Coturnix japonica: one gene and its partners. Each later gene encodes a partner of the first gene's protein in a complex. Links are inferred from orthologs where the notes say so. Each region holds a gene or a part of one and is shown on either strand. Other genes may lie near its edges.

Region 1 (4,010 bases):
GCTGCTCACCAACACCACGCACCGCCCTGTCCAACCCCGCAGCACACGCTGCAAACAGGAAAGAAACAAAATATTGCCCAAATGTAGGCAAAGGCCCCTCGGCTGCCCTGACCTCCGCCGGGCCGGGCCCTGCCTGACTCAGCTCCTTACTCAGCTCTCGTTTCCTCCCTCCGGCTGCTGCTGCCGCTGCAGCTCACACCCTAACGAAGCACGGCCCTTGATGGGCTCTGCGATGCACCCAGCAGTCCAAGGGCTGGCCGGGAGGTTTGCACCGCTACTTGCTGACATGAGCGCTGAACTTGGCCCTGGGTAGCGCTGCAGGCCGGGAGGGGTGGGTGCAAACAATGCACCTGGTGCCCCATCCCCTCCCTTGCAGCACCAGGCCGATGGTGTGATTGCAGCTCGGTGCATGCACGCGCCGTGATACGTTCCTTGCTGCTGTAGCAGCCTAGTGCACGCACAGCCCTCGCTGTTATTGCAGCTCTGCGCACACACTCATTGTATCACTCCATCCCACAGCATGATGCACTCGCACTGGAGCTATCGCTGCTGGGTGCACACACTCATTGTATCGCTGCAGCTCAGTGCATGCACGCAGGCTGCTGTTATTGCTGCTGGGTGCACGCACATCAGTGTGGCTGCAGCTCAGTGCATGCACAGCCGGTGCGCATCGCTCCCACTGCTCCCATCGCTCCCATAGCTCCTATTGCTCCCATTGCTCCTACTGCTCCCATTGCTCCCATAGCACCCATAGATCCCATATAGCACCCATAGATCCCATACAGCTCCCATAGATCCCATATAGCACCCATAGATCCCATAGCTCCCATAGCTCCCGTAGCTCCCATCGCTATGGCCGCCTGTCCCCGGGAGGTGACTTCAAGGGGACCGCAGGACCACCGGGATGGGGGCAGGGCTGCATCCCCTCCCCAACAAAGCACTATGGAATCAAAGCATTATGGAATCAAAGCACTATGGAATCAAAAGGGGGTGGGGGTGGAAGGGAGCGTCACACCCCGCCGCTCAGCCTCACCTGGAGCTGAGCCCCACGCTCCCCTCTCCCCTTTCATCCCCCCAATTTCCTATTTATTTATTTCTTAATTATTTTGTGCAGCGATGGGGGCGGGCGGGGCGAGGCGGGAGAGGTGCGGCCACAGCCAATCAGAAGGGCGCGCTCCGAAAGTTTCCTTTTATGGCGAGGCGGCGGCGGCGGCGGCCCTATAAAAGGCGGAGCGGGCGGCGGGCGGGAGTCGCTTTGCGCTGCCTTCGCCCCGCGCCCCGCTCCGCATCCAGCCGCCTCGTGCCGCCCGACCCGGCTCCGACTGACCGCGGTACAAACACAGGTGAGCGGCCGGACCGCAACGCTGCGACAGCAGAGCTCCATTGTGCCATACGGGGGAGCACCGAGGGGCTGCGGGGGGGCGCTGTGTATTGGGGAGGGGGCGTGAGTCGGGGTGTGTGTGTGTGTTAACGGAGCCGGTGCTGCCCGGTGCCGCGGGGCGGTTCGGCGCTTTGTGCTGCGATGAGCGGGGCGGGGGGCGAGGGAACAAAGGCGGAGTGAGGGGTGGGGGGGGGTCGGGTTGTGACCCCCATGTGCAGCTTTAACCCCCCCCATGTGCAGCTGTACCCCCATGTGCAGCCCCCCCCCCCCAATCCTTGTTACAGATCGCGGGCTGTGCTGGCTGCGGGGCTGTGCTGGGTGCGGGGCCGTTGGGGGCTCGGGGCGGTGCCGGTGGTTGGGGGCGGCTGGTGGGCGGGGCTGGCTGCCCCTATAGCGCCGGCGGCTGTCGAGGCGCGGCTCGGAGCTGCCATTGCCTTTTATGGTCATGGTTGGAGGGCGCAGGGACTTCCTTTGTCCCAAATCTGTGCCGAGCCCAAATCCGGGAGGTGCCGCCTGACCCCCTCTAGCGGGCGAGGGGCGAAGCGGAGCCGGCAGGAAGGAAATGGGTGGGAGGAGGAGGGCCGTGCTGCCGCGCTGCCGCCCCGCGATCCATCCCCAGCGTTGGGGGGATCTATAGGGGGCGAGGCGGGGCGGGGTCCGGCTTCTAGTGCGTGACCGGCAGCGCTTCTATCTCACTGCCTCCTCTCTTCCTTCGCAGCCAGCCATGGATGATGATATTGCTGCGCTCGTTGTTGACAATGGCTCCGGTATGTGCAAGGCCGGTTTTGCCGGGGACGATGCCCCCCGTGCCGTGTTCCCATCCATCGTGGGTCGCCCCAGACATCAGGTACGGCAATGGCTGGAGTGATGCATCCAGACAATGGAGAGGAGTGTTCGGTGGGAGTGGTTGTGCTGAGGGCGTGGAGCCTCCAGAAGCCCTTTTACTTTCATGTGTGACATAAGAGGTTTCTACTCTGCAACAGTAACTGGTTGAATACACAGCATCCTGCCGAGCAACCCGTGTTGAGCCAATGGCTCCAGTCCTTAACCTGGCAGAGTAGGGGCAGTAGGGGGTTAGTGATTAAAGGTGTGGCTTCTGCGGGGGGGGGAAATAAAACCTTTATTCATCCATTGGATTTTGTCCTAGAGTTAAACTTAAAGCTTTTTCTTTGTTGTGCAGGGTGTGATGGTTGGTATGGGTCAGAAAGACAGCTATGTAGGTGATGAAGCGCAGAGCAAGAGAGGTATCCTGACCTTGAAATACCCCATTGAACATGGCATAATTACCAACTGGGATGATATGGAGAAGATCTGGCACCACACTTTCTACAATGAGCTCCGTGTTGCCCCTGAGGAGCACCCTGTGCTGCTCACAGAGGCTCCCCTGAACCCCAAAGCCAACAGAGAGAAGATGACACAGGTGTGTAAAACCCTTTGAGCCTGGAGCTACAGCAGGCGCTGCTGCAGGCCAGCTCTCCTCTTCCATGTTGTCCTCTATCCGCCTTCACCACTTCTCCCTTTTTGCCATCTTTACAGGGTTTTCCTTTCCTGACCTGAGTCTCCTCTTTGCTGGACCTTGACAGGTTTTGTTTGCTCTAAGCTGGCTTTCTCTGAGACTGAACTAGCAACTTGTCTAACTGCTGTTTCTGACTAGACACTAATCCATTTACCAGCCTTGAATGACTATACTGTAGTTCCTTGGCCTTTGTTTCGTTCCTTGCTGTGTCATGTGGATGGGCCTGTGGTAGCAGTGTCCTTGCTCAGGCTCTAACCTGGCAGGTGTGGGTGGAGACCAAGCGAGATAAGCACTGATATCTCCTTCTAGAGGAGCAAAGAAGCCTCTTTATCTAGGGACAAATGTAAAACCACATGCATGGACTGATGTAGGCATGCAGTGAGAACCTTGGTTTATTCTGCTTGACTCAGTGCTTTCTTATCTCTCTAGATTATGTTTGAGACCTTCAATGTCCCAGCCATGTATGTAGCAATTCAGGCTGTGCTGTCCCTGTATGCCTCTGGTCGCACCACTGGTATTGTGATGGACTCTGGTGATGGTGTTACCCACACTGTGCCCATCTATGAAGGCTATGCCCTCCCCCATGCCATCCTGCGTCTGGATCTGGCTGGCCGTGACCTGACGGACTACCTCATGAAGATCCTGACAGAGAGAGGCTACAGCTTCACCACCACAGCCGAGAGAGAAATTGTGCGTGACATCAAGGAGAAGCTGTGCTACGTCGCACTGGATTTCGAGCAGGAGATGGCCACAGCTGCCTCTAGCTCTTCCCTGGAGAAGAGCTATGAACTCCCTGATGGTCAACTCATCACCATTGGCAATGAGAGGTTCAGGTGCCCTGAGGCCCTCTTCCAGCCATCTTTCTTGGGTAAGTCTGACTCCTTTTAGGAGATTCCGTGCCCCTTCTGCCTAGAGTGACTTAGAGACTAGTCAGCTGCCATTGTACTGCTGGCCCTTAGCAGGTCTGTCCCATTCCACTTCAGTCTTTGTCTTCCTCAGCCTGAGGATGATAGAGGTACCTAGGTCAGAACCAGGAGGCTGAGCCTGTAAGCCATGGCTTTGCTTGTGTTGCTTCCCACTATGGGGTCTTTGTTTCTCTTCCCATAGCAGTAG
Region 2 (3,500 bases), on another chromosome or scaffold:
TCATAAAGGAAATCACCACGAGGAACAGTAAGGACTTCAGGAGCAGACTGCAGAGCATTAACCCTCATCTCAGCAACAGCCAGCACCTGGGGTCAGCTCAAGAGCTATGAGTAACTCAAGAACAGCTATGCAGTTAAGGCTGAGATGATTCATAACCATAACGCAGCAAATACAGTGGAAATGTGGATAGGAAAGCTTTCCCTTTGGCTACCAGCAGTGAGTTCTCTCCTCACAAAGGGCTGCAGAGCGATTCCTTCCCAGCTCAGCCAGAGCTCCGCTCAGTCCTGTGCCCACAGAGCTCACATTCACAGAGCTTCCCTCAAGAGAAGTGAGAGCCCATTCATGTTTAGAAGATGAAGCCATTAACCTTGTTCAGGCCATCACTGAGCACGCTCAGTTACAAAGATGCTGACCCTTGTGGAAATGCACTAACACAAACCTGATGTTGCTTGTGCTCTGTTTGGCATAAATAAGAAAAAAAAAGTTAAGAACAGACCTGAAAAGGCAGCATTTTTAAGACTGGAGCTTCTTTATGCTTGCTCCCACACGTCTACACCAGTTATGCCACGCACTACCTTTTTTGGGCTCAGACTTGGACAAACTGTGATCTCCTGCCTCACGTGGGCAGAATTCAGTGTTAAATCAGCTCAGGCCTGCAGCAGCCTCACAGAGAAAACACACCTCGCGCTGCTTGCTGCTTGAAGCCTCAGAAGCTCATTTACTTTCAGAGCAGATTAATGATTCAGCAGCCACGTGATGATAACCACTAATGGCATCCCACAGACAGCTGACCTGTGCTCTGACTTCTTGCTGCTTCCTTGCACTGTCAGACACAGCACAAACATCACTGGTACGCAAACACGCTGTGCTAGGAGATGCTGTGTAAGTTACCTGGTGACGTTTGACAATGTCCTTCAGTTTATTAGCCAGCTTCAGCTCTATATCTGGAATGAGGTAGATGGTTGGTCTGCTCAGACAGTTGTTCTGTGGAGACAAAAGAAGTAATTAGCAGAGCATTTGTGACAGAAACCAAACAGTTCCCATCACAATCAGCAGTCCAGCAGTAATAAAGAGAGCAAATAACTTCAGATGGAACCCCACACAACTGCTACCTGCTGTCTTCTGGTAGCAGCAATGGAGCTCTGACAGAACAACTGAGGATCAAAAAGCAACCCAGCCCTGAAAATACTCAAACTCACTACAAAGCTGGAAGTCCCAAGGAGGTGCTGAAACAGCTGCCCAGAGGCTGTGGATGCCCCGTCCATCCCTGGAGGTGTTGAAGGCCAGGTTGGATGGGGCCCTGGGCAGCCTGGGCTGGTATCAATGTGCAGGTTGGTGGCCCTGCCTGTGGTGGGGGGTTGGAGCTCCGTGATCCTTGGGGTCCCTTCCAACCCAAACCATCCCATGCACAAGGAATCTGAGTCCATTACCTGCACTAGTGTTTTCTCAATGTTCATGAACATCTCCACATTTCGGTCCATCCGGGATGGGTTCTGCAGGTCAAACCTCCGCCTGTAGAGGGAAACCATTCAAAAAGTCTTAAAGGATTCAACTTTCCTCTACTCAGAAGCAAAGAATCTCTCATGTTACACATTAAAAACAACACTGTGGAAGCTACATGGGAACACTCAGGGCACAATCAAGTAGTTTTGCTTCGCTTGGCAGCCCCCCCAAGCAAATAAACCCAACACAATGAAGGAATCACCAAAGTGAAAATGATTTGCAATAGGTTGAAGAAAAACGAAGGCTGGAACCTGCAGAAGGGTTGTGTGTTCCACTGCAGGCACAAGGGATAATTCAATGGAAACCATCAGATATTCAAGGCAGGTCTCACCAGCTGGAGGGGGAAACCCACAACCATCCACTGTGTGCTCCCAGCACCCACCCCAAAATCCAGCCCAGCAACATGGGCAATCCCTCTGTGAGCCATGAGAAGGGCCCCGCGCACAGCACAGGGCAGCTAACAACCCACATCAGCATTACAGAACAGCCCAAATTGGAAGGGGCTCATAGAGACCATCGAGTCCAACAAGATGATTGTCTTTATGGGACTCTGGTGCTTTAAAGCTCCATGCTGCAGTGATAAAGGAATCCAGCTTTGGGAGTGACAGTGCACATGGAAGCATCTGTGAGAAACGGGGAAGGCAGAAGCATGAGAGCCTCAGCAGGCGTCCTGCATGTGTCCTCGAGTGAAGGACCTGAACGAAGAAAGGGTCAGGCTGAGCACTGATGGCACCAACAGCACTGCACATACCACGGGTATGGAGCTGCAGGAGTCCAAGGCAGGCTCAGCCCAGCACAACATTGCCCTGGGGCAGACAGGCACTGCCTGCTGCACCTCCGTGCCTGTGCAGCTTTGGAAACAACCACCAGCAGGGGCTGCGAGTGCTGTGAACAGGAATGCTGAGCTGGCAGCCAGCGGGATAGGGATTACAGCACATAGAAATGCCTCCCACAGCCATGAGCTCCTTACCCTGCAGCGACTGGCGAGCTGCTCTGAGCTCAGAGTGCAGCTTCAAGCACCAGCAGGCAGTGCTGTGCCCAGACGGTTCAGGACAGTTTCTTTCAGACACACACTTCTTTCCCATAACACATCCAATAAACGTTTCAAGTTCATAAATATGCAACAAAGGTAAACCAAAGCAGGACTGAAGTCAGAAAACCCATTACTGCACAGGCAGGGCATCACAGAGACACCGCTGAACATAGCACAGAACCTTCAGCTGAGGCTGCCATCTCTTCCTTCACTGGTGGCTCTCAGCACATCAGGCAGCATCAGCAGAAGGCTCTTTCTACCCTCCATAGGTATTACAGGTGCATCCCCTCCTGCTAAAGAGCTGGGGAACGAAAGGCAGAGTTCATCCTGACAAACCTACTGTCTGTGCGTGTGGGAGCTGTGAGCTGACTGCAGGCACAGCCCAATGCACTGCTGGATGGACACACAGGGAGCTGAGCCGAGGCCCAGCTGCTTCTCCAGGGCTCTCACACTGATGTTTCATGGTCTATACAAGCCATGTGTGCTCCAGACAGGTACACTGAAGTGTCAAGGAAACAAATGGAAATAGATGGCAAATTAATGCAAATGAATCTACCTTCCTAGACAGCCAACAGCTGGCAGTACCTCTGAAACAAGGACGTGTAAGGCACTCTGCTTTGATCAAAGCTGCTTGTTATATTTGGTTGCCTACAATCCGCGTTTTGGATTCATTAAATGCTATTCATGCCCCACACTTTCACAACCCATACTTGACGAGAAGCACGTCCATGTATCAAGCAATAGAACTGTGTGTAAAGGAGATGAGATAGCAGTGCTAATCCCTCCTGCGCTCAGATTACGGGACACCTCGGGCAGGTTTTAGCCACCAACCACTTCAATGGCAGTGACAGACAGGGTATGTCCAGCTGCACTGGGTAAGTGCACTTTGCAGACATACCTATTATGGCGAGGAAAGGTACTTCTCCTATAAGACAGATCATTCACAAACAGGTTAAGCAAGAGC
Region 3 (4,123 bases), on another chromosome or scaffold:
CAGGAGAGCAAGTTCCAGGACTCAAGCACAGGCAAGGTGCACAGCAGTGTTCCTTTAAGTTGTGAACACTTACATTCATCAACACATGCTCGAAAATCAAGTTCCAAGTCAAAAATGGTGAAAGACTGGAGATAAAGATGAGCTTGGAGGAATTAACTTACTCAGCAATTACATAAAATGCGAGTGCCCTGGTTCTAAGAGCCAGGGTACACAAGTGCTACTGATCGGCTCTCACCATTAATTCTTATAGCTATAAGAACTTTGTATAACTCATGTTCTGCCATGGGGATACCCATCGGTCTCCGAGTTGGGCTCTCGGTCTCGTCACCATCAGACTCCTTGGAAAACAGAGATGAAGGAGGATATCAAGCCCTTAGCTACACTCCCAGACACTAAGAAACTGGTTCAATTTCCAATTCCAGACCCATCAAATCAGCTCTGCAGTTGGGTGCCTTACACTCACATCTTCTAGCAGCCTTCCTTCTACTCGAAGCTCCCAGGAGGCCACTGTTCCTTCACCATCCTCTGCATCCGACTTGGCTGGATTGAAGGTATTGGAGATAAAAATACGTAGCTTTCGCTTTTGCTACAAGAAAAAGCATCAGCTCAGTATTCATTCAGAAGCAAAGGGATGAGAATCATGCTTATGTTTTGTTAAAACTAAGCTAAATATTCTTCTTTTCCTCATACATCCACTCTCAGGACAAACAGCACAGAGAGAGGCAGTCTTGGTTCTACCCCCCCACTTAAGTCCTGGGCATTACAGTTCTCTCTATGCTTATAGGGTTATGACACAACCTTCAAAGCCCTCCTACTCTTCTGATAACAGTAAGTCTCTGAATGTCCCTCTCCTACCTTAATGGGTCGTTTCAAAGCCTCCTGGATATCCAAGCGTTTCCTCATGATCGTCTGGTCCAATTTCCTTTCAAAGGCCAGCAGGTCCATATAAGCTTGAGACTCAGGCACAAGTTCACGGATCTACAAGCAGAACACGAGCCAATCAAGAATGCAAATCACTGTCAGTTCCCCCACATCTCCATATCAGCAGAGGCTGTCAACTGCACATGCCACTCACCCTCTGAGGTAGAATTTTGTCTGCCATCTTCTTCTTTTTAGCACTGTAAAGTAAGGAGAGCATTAAAATGGCAACCATTCTGCTAATTAACACTGGACGTTCACAAAAGGAGCGAGATGAGGTTTGTGTTTTAGGACCAGGGCATCAGCAATGCTCTCAGCCCTGCAGCAGCTGATCGCCTTAATACATCCCCAAGGAAAGCAATGAAAGCAAGGCTGCATCATTGGAAAGGAAGCCTTATGGCTCAATGTGCTTTAGACAGACTTTTCTAGGAGACTCAGAGATGCATTACCAACGTTACCAAGGCATCACATTGTACTATCAGAAACTGAACATTAACTTGCTCTTGTCCAGCAGTTGCACATTACTTTTTTATCTGCTGGAAATTCCCCTCTACCAGAGACGAAGCTGCACGAGAACATCAAAGTTTCTTTCAGCCACCCAACAAAAAAAAAGCAGCAATGAGAGGCCCAGGCCTGGCTCTGCACACAGAAAAGCTTTGTGCTGCTCTGAGCAGCCAGCAGATGACACCAAGTCAGTGCTGACCCCTTCAGAGAGAGCCTGCAGCTCAGTGATGCCTGCCCTCACCCTGATACACAGATCTCGTCCCATGGGGCTTCATGAGGAGAGAAGCAATGTGTCCACGTCCACCTGGGGATGCCCTGAGCACCCTCAATGCTCTGGTGATGCACAGAGATACCTCGAAGACCCCTTGGACCCAAGGATGCCCTGAGACTCCTCTTTGCCCTCGGGGTGTCCTGAGGAACCCTGTTGCCATAGGAATGCCCAAGGATATGCCCAAGACTCATCTGCCATCCCAGGGATGTCCTCAGGACCCCTGCTGCTCTGAGGATGCCCAAGGGACATTTTGAGACCTTCACTGTTCCCTCCCCTGCCCTGGAGGAGCACAGGGAAGATCTGGGACCCTCATCTGCTCCAGGAACCCTTCCTATTTCAAGGATACCCAAGGATATCCTAAGCCTCCCACTGCCCTGGCAGCATCCTTTGGACACCCATTGCCCTGAGAACCCCCCTGTTGCCAAGAGGACACCCAACGATGTCCCCAGAGCCTTTCTACCCCATAGTTATCCTATGAATGACCCGAGCTCCTCCCCCCACTCACAGCTCTAAGGATGGCCAAGGATGCCCTGATCCCCCCCCCCCCCCCCCGCACCGTCTATTCCCTGAGCCCCCCAGCACCCCCGGTTCTTACTTGTGGTTGCGGTTGGGCACCGCCTGAGGCTGAACCTGCTGCAGTTGCTGCGGCGCTGGTCTCTTACGGGCCTGATCCAGGCCGGCCTGCGCCATACCGGGCCTCACTGCCGGGCTCCCACCGTACCCGGGCGGCCCCATAGAGGGGCCTTGCGGTGCCAAACGGCTGCCCGGTAACATCCCAGGGCGCTGCAAGGGGAAGAAAAAAGCCGTTCCAATGCCCACCCGGGGGGAAGCCGGCCCCGTCCTCGGCCCCGCCGCCCCCACTCCCTCCCGCCCCGCCCCGCAGCGGCCCCTCCCCTGCCTCACCGGGTAGGCGGCCCCTGGTAGAGGTGAGCGGTACAAGCCCTGTCCCGGGGCTGGGCCCATGCGCACCGGTCCGCCTGGTGTGCCCGGACCCAGCGCTCCGGTCCCGGTAGCGGCCCCGCCGCCTCCACCGCTGGGAGTCACTGACTGGAAGCCCGCCCGCGCCGCCATCTTGTCCAGCACAAAGAGGAGCGGGCCGGAACCGGAGCTCTGACATAGAGAGAGCGCGGACAGCGGCCTAGAGCGGCAACGGCTGCAGAGAGCGCCCCCTGCCGGCGGGAGGAACTGCGGGGGGTGGGAAGTAGTGGGTGGGGAGGGGGTCGTGGGTGGGTTTAAGGTTCACTACTGTGGGGGAATAGGGGCCTGGGGGAGTATGGCAAGGTTCTGGGGTGGGGGTGGGGGGTGTAGAGCGTGGGGAGGGCTGTGGGTGGGGGTAGAGGACTTGGAGAGGGCTATGGGATGGTGTTGGGTTTGGGGGTTTCAGAGACCATGGATGGGATGGGGTATTTGCAGGGGGGGATGTGTGGGAAGGGGCTGCGTCCTGGGGACATGCATGGACCATAGGAAAGTGTTTTGAGGGTGCAAGGTGCTGGAGGATGGTGCTCATTAAGCCTCGATGCTGTGACTGAGTTGGGGTGGGGGTCCCCTGTTCTTACAGGTGCTCTGTGCTCGTGTTTGGGGCTGCTTTGCTTAGGGCTGGGGATGCTTGGAGGAGGATTCCTCCCTCCCTCAGTAGAAGGCACAGCGCTGAATTAAAGGCCGCTTTTTGCAAGTATTAGCATTACTTTCCTTGTCCCCAGGGCACTCATCCGTGTGGTTGCTCATAGAGCAGAGGGACCTGCATCCAGCCTGCATTAATCCATGAATAAAATCCAAGAGAGCAGCCACACCGCAAGTATTAATTAAGCAATTAATGATAATCACAGGCCATTTAGGAAGCTGTCCTGTACAGTGCATGGCATTGTTGACTGAGGAGAAAAGTGGGGAGTTGTTGGCATCTTTTCCACCAAATTCAGTGTTTCTTGACCTCGATAGAAAACACGATGCCGTGAGCACAGCCATTAGCTGTTGTCTCAGCATCCGTGTGTCCGTGCAGTTAATGTAATGCCACCTCCAACACAGCCTTGGCGCCTGGCTGCCTGATGAAATATTCATGGTGAGGAGAAGCGGTGGAACTTATCTGCTCCGTATTGTTCAGATGCAGCAACTTCAAGTGAGGCTTAAAGCCCGGCAGGAGCCTTTGGACAGAGTTAGGAAGTGGCTGGGAGGGATATAGAAATAAGGAAGGGCTGAGCTGAGAAATGGTCTCTCTCCAGCAGCAGTTCCCTGTCTGCCTGGAACTGGGGAGCCCAGCACTGAGCCCAGTGCTCCAGTTGTGGCCTCCCCAGGGCAGAGCAGAGGGGAGGTGCACCTCCCTCCATCACCCTGCTGGCCAGGCTCTGTGCAGTGCACCCCAGGGTATCATTAGCCTTCTTGTCACACTCCTGGCTCATGGTTACCCCGTTGGCCACCAAGAGACCCACGTCTTTT
Region 4 (4,270 bases), on another chromosome or scaffold:
TGGGTGTGTCCGAGGGAGCGGAAGGGGGAGGGCGCTGAGAGCAGCCCCCACACGCCCAAACGCTGTCATTGCTGCGCTATCCTACACGGCGCTGCCTGGGCCGGGGTCACCTTGAACATCAGCAGAGGCTGCTCCTCAGTCCCCGCGCACACGATGCCGTGTGTTCGCCATGGGCTGCTCCTCGCTGCTGCCCGATTCAGTGTCTTTTTGGTGCTTGTTTTTAACCACTGGGTGAGAGCAGCGATTTTATTCAATTCAGGTTCCCTTCTGATTCCCTTCTACTTGCAGCCTTGCCAAAAAATTCAGAGTCTATAGACATCAATCTCAAGGAGAGGAACAGAACAAACCCCTCTGGCAACACCTCTATCAATGTATCAGGCGGACGGGAGGCAGCCGCCCCCTCCAGCCGCACACACCGCGGTGAGCAGAGCCCCACGGCCACGCCGCTGTGCCGTCATGGAGGCGGCCCCGCCGCTGTGCACCGCAGAGCCGTTATTGCCGCTGTGCACCGCAGAGCCGTTATTACTGCTCTCCATCACGGAGGGGCCGCCGAGAAGCGCTGCAGAGGCCCCTTCCCCCCCGATGGGCCGCGGGGTCTCGTGGTGCCGCGCGGGGCTGTGCACGAGGAGCCGCGAGCTGCGGCAGCACAACGGCGAGCTGCGGGGATCGCGGCGTCTGCAGCCGTCAGTCACACGGGGCGTAGCGGGGCCGGAGAGCCCCGGACAGATCGCCCCGGGCGGGGCCGCCGCCATACTGCCATGCTGCCATACTGCCATACATCCATACTGCCATACTGCCATACTGCCATACATCCATACTGCCATACATCCATACTGCCATACTGCCATACTGCCATACTGCCGTGCTGCCATACATCCATACTGCCATACTGCCATACTGCCGTGCTGCCGTGCTGCTATGCCGCTATGCCGCCCCCGCTGCTCGCACGCCCCCCATCCCTTCTCCCCCGCTCCGTCCCTGCCCGCTCCCGTCTCTCCGCCTCCCGCCGCCTCTTCTCGCCGCAGGGGCCGTTCTCATCCTGGCGCTGGAATCGCCGCCAGCGAATGTTTGCCCGCTGCCGGCGGTCCCCGGGGACGGGGCCTGGAGCGCGGCGCGGGCGGAGCGCTGCGAACGGGGGGAGCCATTGTTTCTCCCCGCTCTCCCGCCGCATATTGTAATGGGAAAACTCCCCGGGAGCCGAGGCCGCCCCCTCCCCCTTGCCCCAGAATTTACCATCCCCTGCGCCGAGGAGGAGCGGCTGCGGCTCCGCCGCGAAAGGCCGGGACGTGTTTTCAATCTGCCTGGCTCTTATCTCGGGTGTTTGGACAGAGAGGTTTAAAAAGCGGGATTTTCTGTCCCCGCAGAGTAAACACGCAGAGCCCGGCAGCGCAAACTATTTCTGGCTTATCAGTGGAGGAATGCAGCAGCTGAGGCCGAGCGCGAGTGGGCCGTCAGGAAGGCCCTGAAGGGGCCCCCTCCCCACTCCGCGCTATTAGAAGTGTGAGAGCCCAGCAGGACTCAGAGGGGAGAGTTGGAGAAAAAGGCAGAAAAGGGAAAGAAAGAGGAAGAGAGAGAGTGAGAGAGGCTGAGCAGACCCCGATGGCTACAGACGAAGTTACAGGAGGGGCTCGCAAAGCTACGAAAAGCAAACTTTTTGAGTTTCTGGTCCATGGGGTGGTGAGTCGGGAAAGTTAGCGAGCTGCTGGCTCCGGATCGAGGGATGAGTGCAGAGCGGAGGCTGCGCCGGGCTGGAGCGGCCCCTGCTGCGCGCCCGTGGGGCGCCGCTCCCCGCCTCGCCCGGGAGCCGCGGGGCCGCCGGTGCACACGATGTGACCGATTCGTTGCTATACGGCTTTGTCTGGGGGGTTGCGTGCTGTGATTGCTGCTTTGATTCTCCGTGCTTGGTGAATAGCGTGCTCCCGAGCCTCGTCACGGTGCGGGATCTGCACCGCGTCTGACCCAAACGGGCTCGTAGGACACTTTGTTCTGTAAGCAAACTTGTGTTTTGAAAAGCAATTCTGATGCTGGTCCGACGCGGCCGTGTGGCGCTGCCTCTGGTTCTCGTCTCCAGCCTTGGCTCTGATGTATCCGCTGGCTACTTAACAGGTGACTTTCAGGGGCTTGGAGAGATTAGCGCTGCGGATCTCTGCCAGGCGATGGGCGCTCACCCACGAGGGAACGTCAGGTTGCCGCGCTTAATTAAAGGAATCACTCAGGTCTTTAAAAAATCGCCAGCTTTTGTTTAAGGAATCAGGTTTTTGATCTCCATTTAAGGGGATACGCTAACCTTGTTTTGCTGCCAGGAGAAACGATGTTCTTTAAATGACTGATGGTTGAAAGCGACCACCATTTATAGCATTCGGATGTCTCGTGCTGATACACTTTTAAGGAAATAAGACCCAGGAAACGCAGATATAGCTCAGATGGAGACAGTCCCTGCGTGTTTTCTCTCCTGAGCGTTCTGGCACCTTCTGTGACACCTTTTTGAAGACATCCGCTGCGTGTTCCTGTACAAAGGAATCTCGGGAGCTCGCTGCAGGCCTCTGGGTTGTCCCCATAATTCAGGCTTGCTCCAAATGTATTGGATCTTTCTTGTGTACTGCAGAGCCTGGCTATGATGAGCTTGCAGGGTGAAGGACTTTTAGATGGCATTCTGCTCCCTGAGAGCAGTGAGCAGGCAGAGCGGTGCCGATGTACATCAGCAGTCTGTGGCTGGATGGGCAGATATGACAGAAGCAGGTGTGCGGATCTGTGGCAGTAGCTGTGCTGTGAACACGTGTGTTGGTTAAGATGGTCTGGCTCAGGGTGGCTGTAGCTGGGTGGCCGCAGGCATCCCGGGAGGGCTGTGCACGAGGGTAGCTGTTTCTTTTTCCAAGGCTTCTGTTGGCACAACACTGCTCTTCCTTTGGTATTTCCAAGAGTTGCTAAGACAGTTGGATGACCCTGCTTCTTTCCCATGTAGATGTGAAAGGAGCCTGCTGGCCTCTTAAGCATGAGAAATGTTAATTCATACCAGAATTAATGCAGCAGAACTTGTTTCCATTAGTTATTTGGGTGCTAGAAAAGTCTGACTTGTCTGCACTGCCTGTTTCTCCATGAGAGGCGTCTCACTTGGTATCCACATTGCCTGAGTACCTGCATCTGGTTGTTACCTTTCCACTGCCTGTCAGGGGAAACAGAGCTTCTTGTCCATCACTCTTTGCCTGAGCTCCTCTTGTAGGACCCTCTGCGCCCCTCCATGATTATTTCCTTTGGTTCTGCTTTTGCTTCCGTGTTTGTTCTTCACTTCTAGTTTCTTCCTGACCTCAGGCTCATTTTGGTCAAAACAGGTTGAGGCAGCCAGTCTTCCATTGCTTACAAAAGACCCAAAGTTGCAACTTCATTTACCTGTTTACATATCCTATCGAATAAAAGAACGAGCCGTTACCCCGAGTGCAGATATTGCAGCCTCATCACCGCACGCGGCCTGTCTGCATCTGAATCAATTCCTTGAAGATTCAAGTTGAAGAGTAAAGTTTTCCAGCATGCCTTGGAATCAGGTTATGCCTCCACTCCAGGGAAAATCTCCTCTTCAGATTACTGGGTTTTTTTGTTCTCTCTTTGGCAAAATGATCTCTCTTGATTACTGCAGGTATTGTTATCGTTATTGTTTCATTTTCAGAAATGGGAGTGTATAAGCAGGGATAGAATGCCATGAGAAAAAAATGTACTGTTTGAAGAATTAAATAGAAAGGAGAATTTTGCACTATTTACTGAGAGCTGTTAGATTTTGGGTTTATTTGATCTTTCTGAAAACATGTGTTTCTCTGCTAAGGTCACTTCGCCCTTTGCTCTTGTGTGTTTCATCTTGCCTTTGTTCTTTCCCATGCTGCCAGCTCAGAAGAGATCTTCTTCCCTTTGTGTGGTTCAGATAGGATCCCTCTGTGCTGTCAGATCTCAGTGGTGAGAAGCCTCAGGTGTGATACTTCGCCCTGCTGGAGTAGTTTGTTACACCTCTGCTGAGCAGTTCTTTTCAAAAGACCGCCTTTCTTTCAGTTATTCCTTAGATTTCTCTAACTCCTGGTCTGTTGATCAGGGCCTCACACGCTGTATCTGTGGGAAGAGGGATTTTTTGCACAGGCTTCATCATCCTTCACTGTCACTTTCGCCCCTCTGCTCTATTTCCAGAACTGTTATGGATAAATTCAGCTTTAATGACCACCTTTATGCCTATATGTTTTTTCCTGATGTGTTTTCTACTGTCCAGCAGTACACTTCAGGCTGCCCTTGT
Region 5 (4,178 bases), on another chromosome or scaffold:
GGGGGCTGGGACCGAGGCCTGGGGTGGATGCTGCCAATGGCCGGGCTCTGCTCACAGCTGGATGAAACGATTCCATGTCCCCCCCCCTTCCCCCCAAGTCCCCCTTATAACCGCTGCATCCACCCCAGCCCACCCCCCATTTGCCCCCTGCAGCTCCATATCCCCACTTGGTGTCTTCAGAGGGGGCAGAGGAGGCACAGCTGCACCCCGGGTACTGCTGGGCTGCTGCCCCATGGACTTCCAGCCCCATGGACTTCCAGCCCCATGGGCTTCCAGCCCCACGGATGCTCACGCTGTGCCTGCAGCCCCCCCGGCTGCCTCCCTTGTGCTCTCTGCCCTATGCTGCCTGTGTCTGTCCCAGGGGGCCAGGCCTGGCCTCCCTCTCCCCATTTAACCCTAAAGGCAGAGCTGGGCATTTATGGGCGAGGGGGAGCCAATGAGGGGGGGGGGTGGGGGGAGCAGGGAGGGGGTCTGGCACCACCCTGGGGGGCAATAGGAGCCCCCTCTGCCCCACTGCTGTTCCTCTGCAGCCACTCGTGCTCGTGGTTCTGTATTATTTTGTACTACTCAGCCTTCCCCCACCCCTCCATTCTTACCCCCCCCCTCCATTCTCCTCCCCCCCCCTTTGATTTTGGAGTGCCACCGATGGCTTCATACCCCCCCTTACCCCCCCCCATTCACCCTATGGGACTTTAATTTATTCTCATTCGTTACGTTGGTTTTTTTTACGGTCCTCCCCCCCCCTTCCCCCTATTTTCCGCTGTCTGTACGATGCGGTTCCGGGTCTCCCCCCCCCTTGTTGGTGGGGGGGGGGGGGGGGGGGGCGTTCAGCGATCAATAAAAACGGCTGTTCTGGTTTCTGTAGCGAAGCTGTGGCTGCTCTAGGAGGGGTCGGGGGGGGGGTCACACTAAAAGGGGCCGAGCCTTTCTGAACTGCTCCGTGTTATACAGAGTCCCACATTAAAAAGGGACCCCCCCCCCATTAAAAGATAAAGCTCCGTCACGGACAGGATTCGAACCTGCGCAGGGAAACCCTATTGGATTTCGAGTCCAACGCCTTCACCTCTCGGCCACCGTGACTTCAGCGCCTCCCTCATCCGCGCTCCGCCTAGACCCGGCACACCGCCCCCATCCATCGGGTCCTCCGTGCCGCCAGGGGGCGCTGTGTTCACTCATCTCCATTCGGCCTGCAGGGGGCGCTGTGCACACTCACCCCTGTTCTGCCCGCAGGGGGCGCCGTCCTGCAGTACCCTTCATTACCGGCAGGGGGCGCCGTCCCGCAGTTCCCTTCATTACCGGCAGGGGGCGCCGTCCCGCAGTACCCTTCATTACCGGCAGGGGGCGCCGTCCTGCAGTACCCCTCGTTACCGGCAGGGGGCGCTGCGTCACGTCACGGCGGGGAGCGGCCCGGCCCGCTGGAAGATGGCGGTGCGGAAGAAGGACGGCGGCCCCAACGTCAAATATTACGAGGCCTCGGACACCGTCAGTCAATTCGACAACGTCCGCCTTTGGTTGGGCAAGAACTACAAGAAGGTACGGATCGTTCGGGATCCCTCATAGGCCTCACGGCTCCGCTTTACACGGAGCCAGGCCCGAGGCTGAGCCCCCTCCCGCAGTACATCCAGGCCGAGCCCCCCACCAACAAATCGCTGTCGAGTCTCGTGGTTCAACTGCTGCAGTTCCAGGAGGAAGTGTTCGGGAAGCACGTCAGCAACGCGCCGCTCACCAAACTGCCGGTGCGTGACTGGGCCGGGCGGACAAAGGGACCCGCAAACCCCGCAACCCCCCCCAGGGACACCCCAGGACCTGCACGACCCGGCCCCGTAATGCCCTGGGTTGGGGGGGACACATGGGACCCCCCCCCCTCCCTTTGGAGGGGTCTTTGTAAGACCCCCCCGGCCCCAAATGGCCCAGCTGGGGTGGAGGGGACACATGGGGACCCTCCCCCTTCCCAACCCCCCCACCCCCTTTGGAGGGGTCTTTGCAAGACCCGAGGCACCCCCGGACCCGCAAGGCCCGGCCCCGTAATGCCCTGGGTTGGGGGGGACACATGGGACCCTCCCCTTTCCCAACCCCCCCACCCCCTTTGGAGGGGTCTTCCCCACCCCCATCCCTTTGGGGAGGTCTTTGCGAGACCCCCCCGGTTCCAAATGGCCCAGCTGGGGGGGGGGGGGGACACATGGGGACCCCCCCCCTTCCCAACCCCCCCACCCCCTTTGGAGGGGTCTTTGCGAGACCCCCCCGGCCCCAAATGTGGGATGACACGTGGGGACCCTCCTCTTCCCCCCCCCCCTCCTTTAGGAGGGTCTTTGTGAGACCCCCCCGGACCCGCAGGGCCCGGCCCCGTAATGCCCTGGGTTGGGGGGGACACGTGGGACCCCCCCCCCCCTTTGGAGGGGTCTTTGTGAGACCCCCCCGGCCCTGCAATGCCTTGGTGTTGGGGGGGACACATAGGGACCCTCCTCTTCCCCACCCCCGTTCCTTTGGGGTTGTCTTTGCGAGACCCCCCTGGCCCCAAATGGCCCAGCTGGGTGGGGAGGACATAGGGACCCTCCCCCTTCCCACCCCCATCCCTTTGAGGGGGTCTCTGTGAGACCCCCCAGGCCCCAAATGTGGGATGACACATAGGGACCCTCCTCTTCCCCCCCCCCCCTCCTATAGGGGGGTCTTTGTGAGACCCCCCCGGTCCCATAATACCTTGGTGTTGGGGGAGATACATGGGACCCTCCCCTTCCCCCCCCCCCCCCCTATAGGGGGGTCTTTGTGAGACCCCCCCGGTCCCATAATACCTTGGTGTTGGGGGAGATACATGGGACCCTCCCCTTCCCCACCCCCCACCCCCTTTGGAGGGGTCTTCCCCACCCCCATCCCTTTGGGGAGGTCTTTACGAGACCCCCCCGGCCCCGCAATGCCTTGGTGTTGGGGGGGACACATGGGGACACCCCCCACCCCCCACCCCGTTTGGAGGGGTCTTTGCAAGACCCGAGACACCCCCGGACCCGCAATGCCCTGGGTTGGGGGGGACACATGGGAACCCACCCCCCCACCCCCCTTTGGGGAGGTCTTTGCGAGACCCCCCCGGCCCCAAATGGCCCAGCTGGGGGGGGGGCACATGGGGACCCTCCCCTTTCCCAACCCCCCAACCCCCTTTGGAGGGGTCTTTGAAAGACCTGAGACACCCCCGGACCCGCACGGCCCGGCCCCGTAATGCCCTGGGTTGGGGGGGACACATGGGACCCTCCCCCTTCCCAACCCCCCACCCCCTTTGGAAGGGTCTTTGCGAGACCCCCCCGGCCCTTGGTGTGGGGGAACACATGGGGACCCACCCCCCCACCCCCCTTTGGGGAGGTCTTTGCGAGACCCCTCCAGCCCCAAATGGCCCAGCTGGGGGGGACACACATAGGGACCCTCTTCTTCCCCCCCCCCCCTCCTTTAGGGGGGTCTTTGTGAGACCCCCCCGGTCCTGCAATGCCTTGGTGGGGGGGGGACACATGGGACCCTCCCCCTTCCCACCCCCCACCCCCTTTGGAGGGGTCTTTGCGAGAGCCCCCCAGGCCCCACACGGCCCAGCTGGGAGGGATGGACACATGGGGACCCTCCTCTTCCCCACTCCCATCCCTTTGGGGGGCTCTTTGGGGCTGGGGTTGGGCGGGGGGGTTGTTGGGGTGGTCGCCCCCATGGCATGGAGCAGGGACAGCAATGGGGACAATAGGGAGAAGGGATGAGTCCCAGTGCTGCCCGCTGTGGGGCATTGCCTGCTATGTATGGGGTATTGCCTGCTGTGGGGCACTGCCCGCTGTGGGGTATTGCCCGCTGTGGGGCAGCCCCCCCCCCGAGTCCTCCCATCCCCTTTTCCAGATCAAATGCTTCCTGGATTTCAAGGCGGGGGGAGCCCTGTGCCACATCTTGGCGGCTGCTTATAAGTTCAAGAGCGACCAAGGATGGTGAGCGGCATCATAGGGAGGATGGGATGGAATTAAGGGTGGTGGTGGGGTTGGGAGGGGGGAGGCAGAGATTTGTCTGCTCTATGGGGCACAATGGGGGCGGTTACAGCCCTGGGTTGGGCAGTGTGTTGGCTGCCCATCTGTGGGTCACAGCCCCATACACAGATCCCTGTTGGGGTGTCCCCCCACCCCCCTTTAATGGGTAAAATGGGGCTGAGTGATGAGGAGACCTGA
Region 6 (3,500 bases), on another chromosome or scaffold:
ATTTGCTTGTTTAAATTCTGATTGCTTTTGCATGCCATATTGCAGTTCATTTTCATTTATGTGTTTTCCTCGTTTGATCTCATTTCTCATTCGTGTTTTTGTCTCATTTGTTTCCATCAGCAAATGCCCAGCACACCAGGGTTTGTGGGATACAATCCATACAGCCATCTGGCCTACAACAACTACAGGCTGGGAGGGAACCCGGGCACCAACAGCCGGGTCACGGTAGGAGAATCAACTATTACATCATCCGGCAAACAGCAGGCAATGCCCAGAAATGGCTTTAGAGTTAGGATCTTCTGAATCCTGGCTGCTGCCTCGTTTTCTAGGAACAAGAGATTACTTCTGATTTTCTCTCTCCATCCCTACCCCTTCCCCTACACTTTGAAACCCTTCACAAGAAAATGGACTTCTGTTCAAGAGAGGGAAAGACGTGTGGGAATCGTGTGATGCAGAGCTCCAAGGAGACACTCTGTGGTCTTCAGTGAGCGCTGCATGTGTAGGGAAGGTCTGTGCTGCAGGTACCGATCCCTGGGGGGTAGAACTGCAAAGTTACTGACTTTGGCACAAAATAAGGAGGAATGCTTTGCAGACCAGGGATCGCTGATAGTTGCTTCACACTACGGAGCTGTGCAAGAAATGTGAGCCTTTATTTCCAATCTTAGTCTGATTTAACCGTGCAAAGTCCCTGGTTCAGAAACAGTTGTTTCAACAGAAGTATAATGATATGAAATACAATCAGATATTCTGTAGTCTAGAACATGGGATACAAAGCAGTTTGTCATGGAACACGTACAGTGCCTTCAGTGAAGAGTGCTCTTCGTGTGCCTCTTCTGTAAACCCCCTTTCAGGCTTCACAGATGACTTCATTGGGTTTGTTGAAGTGCTTACAGAAAAGGCCTTCCCCATCCAAGCTGCAACTCAGCTGACTGTACTGTCTGAACAGACATTTATTTTCTTAAGCAAGGTTAAGTTAGGTTTGCTCCGAGAACTCTCATTGTTTCTGTATGTCATAAGCATATACAGCTTTCTCTGCCATGCATATATCAAGATATGTATGGTGTCCTGGAACTCCTGTTAATTTAAAAGCATTGAACAGTTTCCGTTAATGTTTTTCAAACCCATCTGTGTGTGTATCTATGTATACATTTTGGTAATACATATACTCCATGTACATTATCTATACTTATACGCAGTTCTGTATGCATCGATTCATAGAACTCCATAAATTCAGCAGAAAAAAACAAATGAAGAGGACCAATTGGAAAGCTGAATACAACACGTTGGCCTTTATGGCCAATTTCAGATATTTGCTTAATCTTCTCAATCCTGAAAAGGCTCAAAACTGCTTTTTGTTGTGATGGAAATGGTCCCACGGTTGGAACTCCCACACTGAGTGTCTGCAGAGTGGAGGTGGTGGGCTGTGAGGTGGTGGTGAGGGGAACAAAGCTGCCAGGTGTCCTGTGAAGGACGAGCAGGGCGTGCAGCAGCTCTCCATCAGCAGCACTCTTCTGTGTCTTCCTGCTTAGCACAAGGTGTTCAGCATTGCACAGACTGGAAGGAAGATCAGAGCACAAAAACATGCGAAGGCTAACATGGATAATGACAGCTTGGAGGCAAATAACGCACACTGATGGATCGGTCGCAGAGGGGGATTTGCTCTTCATAGCGAGCAGTTTAACAGGACTAGCTGTGTACCTGTGCACAGGCTTGGGGGGGGGGGGGGCACTTATGCTTCCTTCTTGGAGTGGGGTGGGGGATGTTTGTTTCTTTCAACTGTGCAAGACTAAATGCTTTCCCAAAGCTGGCGCGTGTGGAAGCTGCCCGGTGAGCGCATTAACAAATGGACTTCTTCGTTTTTTCCATAGGCTTCCTCTGGTATTACCATCCCAAAGCCCCCAAAGCCCCCAGACAAGCCCCTGATGCCCTACATGAGGTACAGCCGGAAGGTGGGTATGGGTATCGAACAAGTAGTAATAGATGTTAGCGTTGTGCGTGCTAACAATTCATTGCTGTTATCTTAGTTTCAGCTTTTAAACTTTTACTCCTAACAGCCTGCACATTCTTTAAAGGGAATTGTAAAGAACAGATGCATTGCCCTGCAGAATAATGGCAGCGCTGGTCTGTTCTTACAGTTGCCAGTTTCTGGGGGGAACAGTTGTCTCTAAATTGATAATTTCCTTCTGCTGTCTGCTGACAAGGATCCACCCTGCCACATTCAGAAGTTCCTATGACTTATGAGAGAACTTTTAATGTAAAGGAAATATTCCTTGCGGTATACTGGGCTTGGTACAGTGCTGTAGCTGGACTGAAGAGTAGCAATGAGTGGACTTTGCGTGTTCTCCTTCACCAACCTAGCCTGTGGCAATGGTTACTTCGCTATTCTCTGAACTGATTGACAAAAAATAGGAGAGAGACCCTTGTGGAGTCTTAAATGTGATTGGGCGTGGGGAGGGCAGGTGAGCCCGTCTGGAGCGGGTGAGCCAGAAGGAAATTCTTCCACTTCTGGTAAAGTATCTTTACCAGCAGATCTGTCCAAAAAACCAGCAACAAAAAAAAAGGCAAGTGGCGCAGCAAGAACTAACCCTGGCAGCTCTCTCCTTGTTCTTTTTTCTCCCTGTAAAGGTAGAAACCTTTTTGGTGGAGTCAGAACTTGTTGGAACTCAAATTGATCAGCAAGACTGAAAAATATTGTGAAATGTTGCATTCTGATGTGAAAAGCTCAGTGCTCTTTACCGCAATCTACTGCTGGATGTGTGTTCTCTATAGAGCTTTTTTTTTTCCCCGAGATGCAGCGATTTGAGAAGAGAAGTGAGAGGGTTAAAGGCAAAATATTCTGATGAAACCAAAGCCATTTCAGTAGATGACCTCCTACTGACTGCCCCAGAAAATAACCGAGATAGATTAGCCAGACTCATCCCTAACTTAACCCTGTTTTTTCGTGGTGGTTCCAGAAAGAACACTGAGATGACAATATAAAATGTTTAATTTGGAAGTATTTAGATATCATTAGTAAAGCTCCAGCTGTTTCTGTTAAGGTCTGGGACCAAGTGAAGGCGTCCAATCCTGATTTGAAGTTATGGGAAATTGGCAAGATTATTGGAGGAATGTGGCGAGATCTCACTGATGAAGAGAAGCAAGAGTATTTGAATGAATATGAAGCTGAAAAGGTAAATGGAAGAAATCTGGGATGTTTATTACAGCTGATTCTTCTAGGAACTGGTCTGAGAAGAAACATTCATCTTTCCCGTGCAGTGGTGTATGAGGCGTTCACCAGACCCCCTGTATGTAACTTAATGGAAGTTGTGTCCTGACACATCTTTTAGACTTTTTTTTTTGTTACTGTACATCAGCTGTGACTGGTCAGTTTTTAGACCCAATTCAAAATGAAGTTGTTTATAATTGAGTGCCGAATTTAACTGTTTAATGAATGGATTTAATTGTACAACATCAGTGTTGAAAAGATTGCCTCAACACCAAAAGCCTCTTTCAAAACTGGT
Region 7 (3,500 bases), on another chromosome or scaffold:
ACTTAAGTTGTACATAGGAACCGTGAATGTCACTTGGAGGTGTTTTGGGGGTGACACAATTGCAATAAGAATTATTAAGGTAATTATTTAAATTCTGTTAAGTGATTAAAATAGCTTGAGTAAAAGGCTGGTGAGGCCTGAGAGGCTTCTGGGTAAGTCTATGAAACTGGCTTATCCAAAGCATGCCTGCTTCCTTGCAAGAGTGCAGAGCAACACGCCAACTTGCATGTGAAGTGAACAAGATTTTTTCAGATAAAAAAGAAGAATACAACAGTTATGTTTCAAATGATGCCTGTATCTTGTATATCAAAGCTATCCACAGTTTTATCTTGTTATTTCAGAAATTAAAGTAATTAAAATTCAAGTTGACCATGCATTTGTAAGCAATCTGGAGCACTTCTGGAAAAAAAAAACAAAAACAGATCTGAAAGTCTAATCCTTTTTCTTACTGATGGAGGGTGAGGAGTTAAAATTCTTTTGACCCTCTCCTGGTGGTATTCCTTTTTTCAAGATGATGTATATACTGTATGTATATACTAAGACCAGAGCGTAGTGATACTTGAAGATTTCTTCTTTCTGGCATTATTCATTTTTGTCTGAAATGTAATAAAATGGAATTCCAGAAATTAAGAAATACTGGGATATTCAGCTTTTCTGAAGATTCCTGTATTTGAATACGTAGCTGGATTTTCATTTGCTTAACCTGACTTGGAAGGGTTTTGAATGATTCTTTTCTTACCTCTTGCTGTTATTAACATATTATTAAAAAATAAATAGATTTGGAAATTCCTTGTGTAAATGTCTGCTCCAGATTGTGTTACAGGCTATTCACACTTTGATGTATTGAACATGAACACCTAATGTTCTTTGCTTTTGTAGATGGGCAGTTTCCTCTGTTATGACACGGCAGAACCAGATTCCAACAGAAGATGGTTCCAGAGTTACGTTGGCTCTAATACCTCTATGGGACATGTGTAATCATACTAATGGACTGGTAAGGTTTACTTCAGTGCTGTTGAAAGGCTCTAAGGCTTAAGTATTAATCCTTTCAAATGCCAGCAAACGGTTTTAATAACTTTTCATTCCACTTCTTAACACAGGTTATTTTATCCTCCTGAATGACCCTCAGAAAACTTATAGCTGAAAGATTTATCAATTTCTTAAATGTCTTATGTTGGTCTTTCAGTAGAGCTTCCTTAATTTAAACAAACATTTAGAAATGATTGCATACAGTTGTGTCTTGTGTGAATAACATACCTTTAAGAGTTTTGGCTACACGATACCTCCTTTTTCTTTTTTCCAGCCATTTTTCTGACATAGGGTTTTGTTTCTGACTAGTTTGACAAAGATTCACAATACTAGATAGATTTGTACTGAGAATATGAAAGTAGACAGTGATGGAGGTTACCTCTTGTAGCTACCATTAGGGAAAGTGGTTAGAAATTTGCAGCTAAGAAATACTGCCTGCTCTCTTAACTGTGCCCAGAGAACCTTGTTATGGAGACAGCAACGACAAGAACAAAGCCCAGCTCAACAAAAACAGTACATCTGTTACTACATCAAAGAAACAAAATGCAAAAATACTACTTTAGGGCATATTAAACATTTAAAAGGTGACACGTATATAGAAAGTCAGATCTGCTGACATTTTGTCTTACGTGAGCTGGTTTAGAGGATATGGTCTTGATTTCATTAACAGGCTAGTTAATGTTGAAGTGAGGAAATGGAAGACTGTAAGAGGACAATTTATCGGTGTTGTTTAGCCAGCATCGTGTATGCTTTAGAATTTATATTCTAAAATTTTACTTCCAGTAGATAGTATTATTTAAGTAGTAAATATGACCATTCTATTTCAAGTGATCTAGTCCTTTTGTAGGAAAGTTGGCCCCAGCGTTAGGACAACAGCATGTGTTACTGCTGCTGGTGTAAGAAAAGCTTAATTTACATGAACAAAGTGTAAAACAGGCTGTTTCTCACTTGATACTTAGTTAATTTATTTTTACCATGATTGTTCCAATTACAGCGCCAAAAGCCGGGCTACAAGGTTGCGTGTTTGGCTATTGTATTTTTTTTTTCTCTTGTGTTTTAATACTGATCCTTGCCTTTCACTATTTTGCAATCTCACAACAATTACTCTTGTATGAGAATCTGTGATAACAAGAAAATTGCTCTGAATTCACTAATGTGTATTTTTCTCATGTAAGTCTTAGCTGCATGCATCAGTACTTCTTGTATCCTTCTGCTGGGCTTCTCTTTATGATACTTCTGCAGGGACTAGCCTGTAGTCATTAGACAGCTTTTAATGAATGCCTTCAAAGTTGGGATTAAAGGGAAAGGGGAAGAGAATTAAGGTTCTGGGAGGGGAAAAAAAATAGCCCATATTAAAAGAGCTGTTAGGTACGTTGTTTTAGTCATTCAAACTTATATTTAAATTGATAAAGTCATTTTTTATCTTTATTATGTTCCTTCATGTTGGGTTTGATATGGAGCCAGTGTCTGGAGCCAAACCTGCTAGTGCAGTAGTATATCAGGGCTTTAAGCAATTTTTTATGCTTAAGTGTATCCTAAAAAAGAAAAGAGGGGAAGGGAGGAATCTTAAATAGTTTGAATTTCTATACAGACTTTACTCATTTGTTTCATATTTCCACACAAGCTACTTTTAAGTATCTGTAGGCTTAGGAAGGATAGGCAACTAGAACACTGACAATAAGAGAAGCTACTCAACCCTTTTCACTCTGTATTGTATATTAGAAACTGAGAAGAAAAAGAAATTAAAACAACTCCTGATCTCTCTGTGTTGTAGTTTATATTGCTGTAGAGTGGGATGAGGATGGATTCTGCTGTAGATATAGCACATGAAATGAACAGTTCATTGTATGCAAATAAGACGTGAGAGATGGTATTATATGTACCACTCTGTCTAGTCTATTCCAGACACACTGAAATGCTTCCTGAGTTAGTGACCTACTACATATTCCTGTTCTTGCTGTATTCTGCAGGGACCCATTGCCCAAGCTGGATAATAACGTGCTCTTTGGGTTTTAACTGAAGCCAGGTCCATCCTGCTATTTCGTGCTTCTGACAGTATTAATTAGATCAACCTTCCTCTAAGAACTATATCAAAATGGTTGTCTTCATGCATTTCTCATTGTTATTCTTTAGTGGGATTGTATTTTGACAGTCAGAGGTTGATTACCAGTTCTGCCAGAGCTTTAAATAAGCTACGCTCTGCCGATTGGGCTGGGTCCATCCATAATCACCGACCAAGCAGAGCACTATACTATACAACATACAACTATACAACAGAGTACTACTTTTGCTTTAAGCAAAACTTGAAATTCATACATTGGTCTGCTTCGGAAATAAAACTGGAGGGATGCAATTTGTCAGCCATGATGTGGGAAGGGAAGTAATCACCCTGTTAATTCTGCTGCATGACTGTTATTGAAAGAAAGAGGAAATAAGTCTAGCACTCCATTATGCTTTTCAGAGAAGCCTTT

What was found.
Region 2: ACTB (region 1) and SMARCC1 share a complex: the UniProt entries of both Homo sapiens proteins name them as parts of the BAF complex. The link is inferred for Coturnix japonica from reciprocal best matches to the Homo sapiens genes ACTB and SMARCC1.
Region 3: ACTB (region 1) and SMARCD1 share a complex: the UniProt entries of both Homo sapiens proteins name them as parts of the BAF complex. The link is inferred for Coturnix japonica from reciprocal best matches to the Homo sapiens genes ACTB and SMARCD1.
Region 4: ACTB (region 1) and SMARCD3 share a complex: the UniProt entries of both Homo sapiens proteins name them as parts of the BAF complex. The link is inferred for Coturnix japonica from reciprocal best matches to the Homo sapiens genes ACTB and SMARCD3.
Region 5: ACTB (region 1) and SMARCC2 share a complex: the UniProt entries of both Homo sapiens proteins name them as parts of the BAF complex. The link is inferred for Coturnix japonica from reciprocal best matches to the Homo sapiens genes ACTB and SMARCC2.
Region 6: ACTB (region 1) and SMARCE1 share a complex: the UniProt entries of both Homo sapiens proteins name them as parts of the BAF complex. The link is inferred for Coturnix japonica from reciprocal best matches to the Homo sapiens genes ACTB and SMARCE1.
Region 7: the proteins of ACTB (region 1) and SETD3 are in contact, whole or in part, in a crystal structure (PDB 6ICT), measured with the Homo sapiens proteins. The link is inferred for Coturnix japonica from reciprocal best matches to the Homo sapiens genes ACTB and SETD3. Residues at the interface, in NP_001092.1 of Homo sapiens: Leu67, Lys68, Tyr69, Pro70, Ile71, Glu72, His73, Gly74, Ile75, Val76, Thr77, Asn78, Trp79, Asp80, Asp81, Met82, Lys84; in NP_115609.2 of Homo sapiens: Cys36, Ser37, Ile148, Ala151, Met152, Asn154, Ile155, Asn212, Arg215, Gln216, Val248, Val251, Met252, Thr253, Arg254, Gln255, Asn256, Gln257, Ile258, Pro259, Leu268, Ile271, Trp274, Asp275, Cys277, Ile284, Thr285, Thr286, Gly287, Tyr288.

Annotation. Positions count from the first base shown.
Region 1 is NC_029529.1:4,232,029-4,236,038, reverse strand, and holds the start of ACTB (actin, cytoplasmic 1), read left to right. Parts: upstream 1-1,210; 5' UTR 1,211-1,343; intron 1,344-2,099; 5' UTR 2,100-2,105; coding exon 2,106-2,228; intron 2,229-2,561; coding exon 2,562-2,801; intron 2,802-3,326; coding exon 3,327-3,765; intron 3,766-4,010. UniProt on the Homo sapiens protein: Actin is a highly conserved protein that polymerizes to produce filaments that form cross-linked networks in the cytoplasm of cells.
Region 2 is NC_029517.1:706,332-709,831, reverse strand, and holds part of SMARCC1 (SWI/SNF complex subunit SMARCC1), read right to left. Parts: intron 1,513-3,500; coding exon 1,431-1,512; intron 985-1,430; coding exon 892-984; intron 1-891. UniProt on the Homo sapiens protein: Involved in transcriptional activation and repression of select genes by chromatin remodeling (alteration of DNA-nucleosome topology).
Region 3 is NC_029544.1:347,990-352,112, forward strand, and holds the start of SMARCD1 (SWI/SNF-related matrix-associated actin-dependent regulator of chromatin subfamily D member 1), read right to left. Parts: upstream 2,801-4,123; 5' UTR 2,765-2,800; coding exon 2,597-2,764; intron 2,477-2,596; coding exon 2,289-2,476; intron 1,119-2,288; coding exon 1,076-1,118; intron 979-1,075; coding exon 856-978; intron 587-855; coding exon 458-586; intron 1-457. UniProt on the Homo sapiens protein: Involved in transcriptional activation and repression of select genes by chromatin remodeling (alteration of DNA-nucleosome topology).
Region 4 is NC_029517.1:105,896-110,165, reverse strand, and holds the start of SMARCD3 (SWI/SNF-related matrix-associated actin-dependent regulator of chromatin subfamily D member 3), read left to right. Parts: upstream 1-1,470; 5' UTR 1,471-1,599; coding exon 1,600-1,677; intron 1,678-4,270. UniProt on the Homo sapiens protein: Involved in transcriptional activation and repression of select genes by chromatin remodeling (alteration of DNA-nucleosome topology).
Region 5 is NC_029544.1:895,855-900,032, reverse strand, and holds the start of SMARCC2 (SWI/SNF complex subunit SMARCC2), read left to right. Parts: upstream 1-1,378; 5' UTR 1,379-1,422; coding exon 1,423-1,533; intron 1,534-1,616; coding exon 1,617-1,736; intron 1,737-3,852; exon of another isoform or gene 3,853-3,858; coding exon 3,859-3,944; intron 3,945-4,178. UniProt on the Homo sapiens protein: Involved in transcriptional activation and repression of select genes by chromatin remodeling (alteration of DNA-nucleosome topology).
Region 6 is NC_029542.1:4,153,877-4,157,376, reverse strand, and holds part of SMARCE1 (SWI/SNF-related matrix-associated actin-dependent regulator of chromatin subfamily E member 1), read left to right. Parts: intron 1-120; coding exon 121-225; intron 226-1,868; coding exon 1,869-1,949; intron 1,950-3,038; coding exon 3,039-3,170; intron 3,171-3,500. UniProt on the Homo sapiens protein: Involved in transcriptional activation and repression of select genes by chromatin remodeling (alteration of DNA-nucleosome topology).
Region 7 is NC_029520.1:43,618,117-43,621,616, reverse strand, and holds part of SETD3 (actin-histidine N-methyltransferase), read left to right. Parts: intron 1-879; coding exon 880-994; intron 995-3,500. UniProt on the Homo sapiens protein: Protein-histidine N-methyltransferase that specifically mediates 3-methylhistidine (tele-methylhistidine) methylation of actin at 'His-73'. Histidine methylation of actin is required for smooth muscle contraction of the laboring uterus during delivery.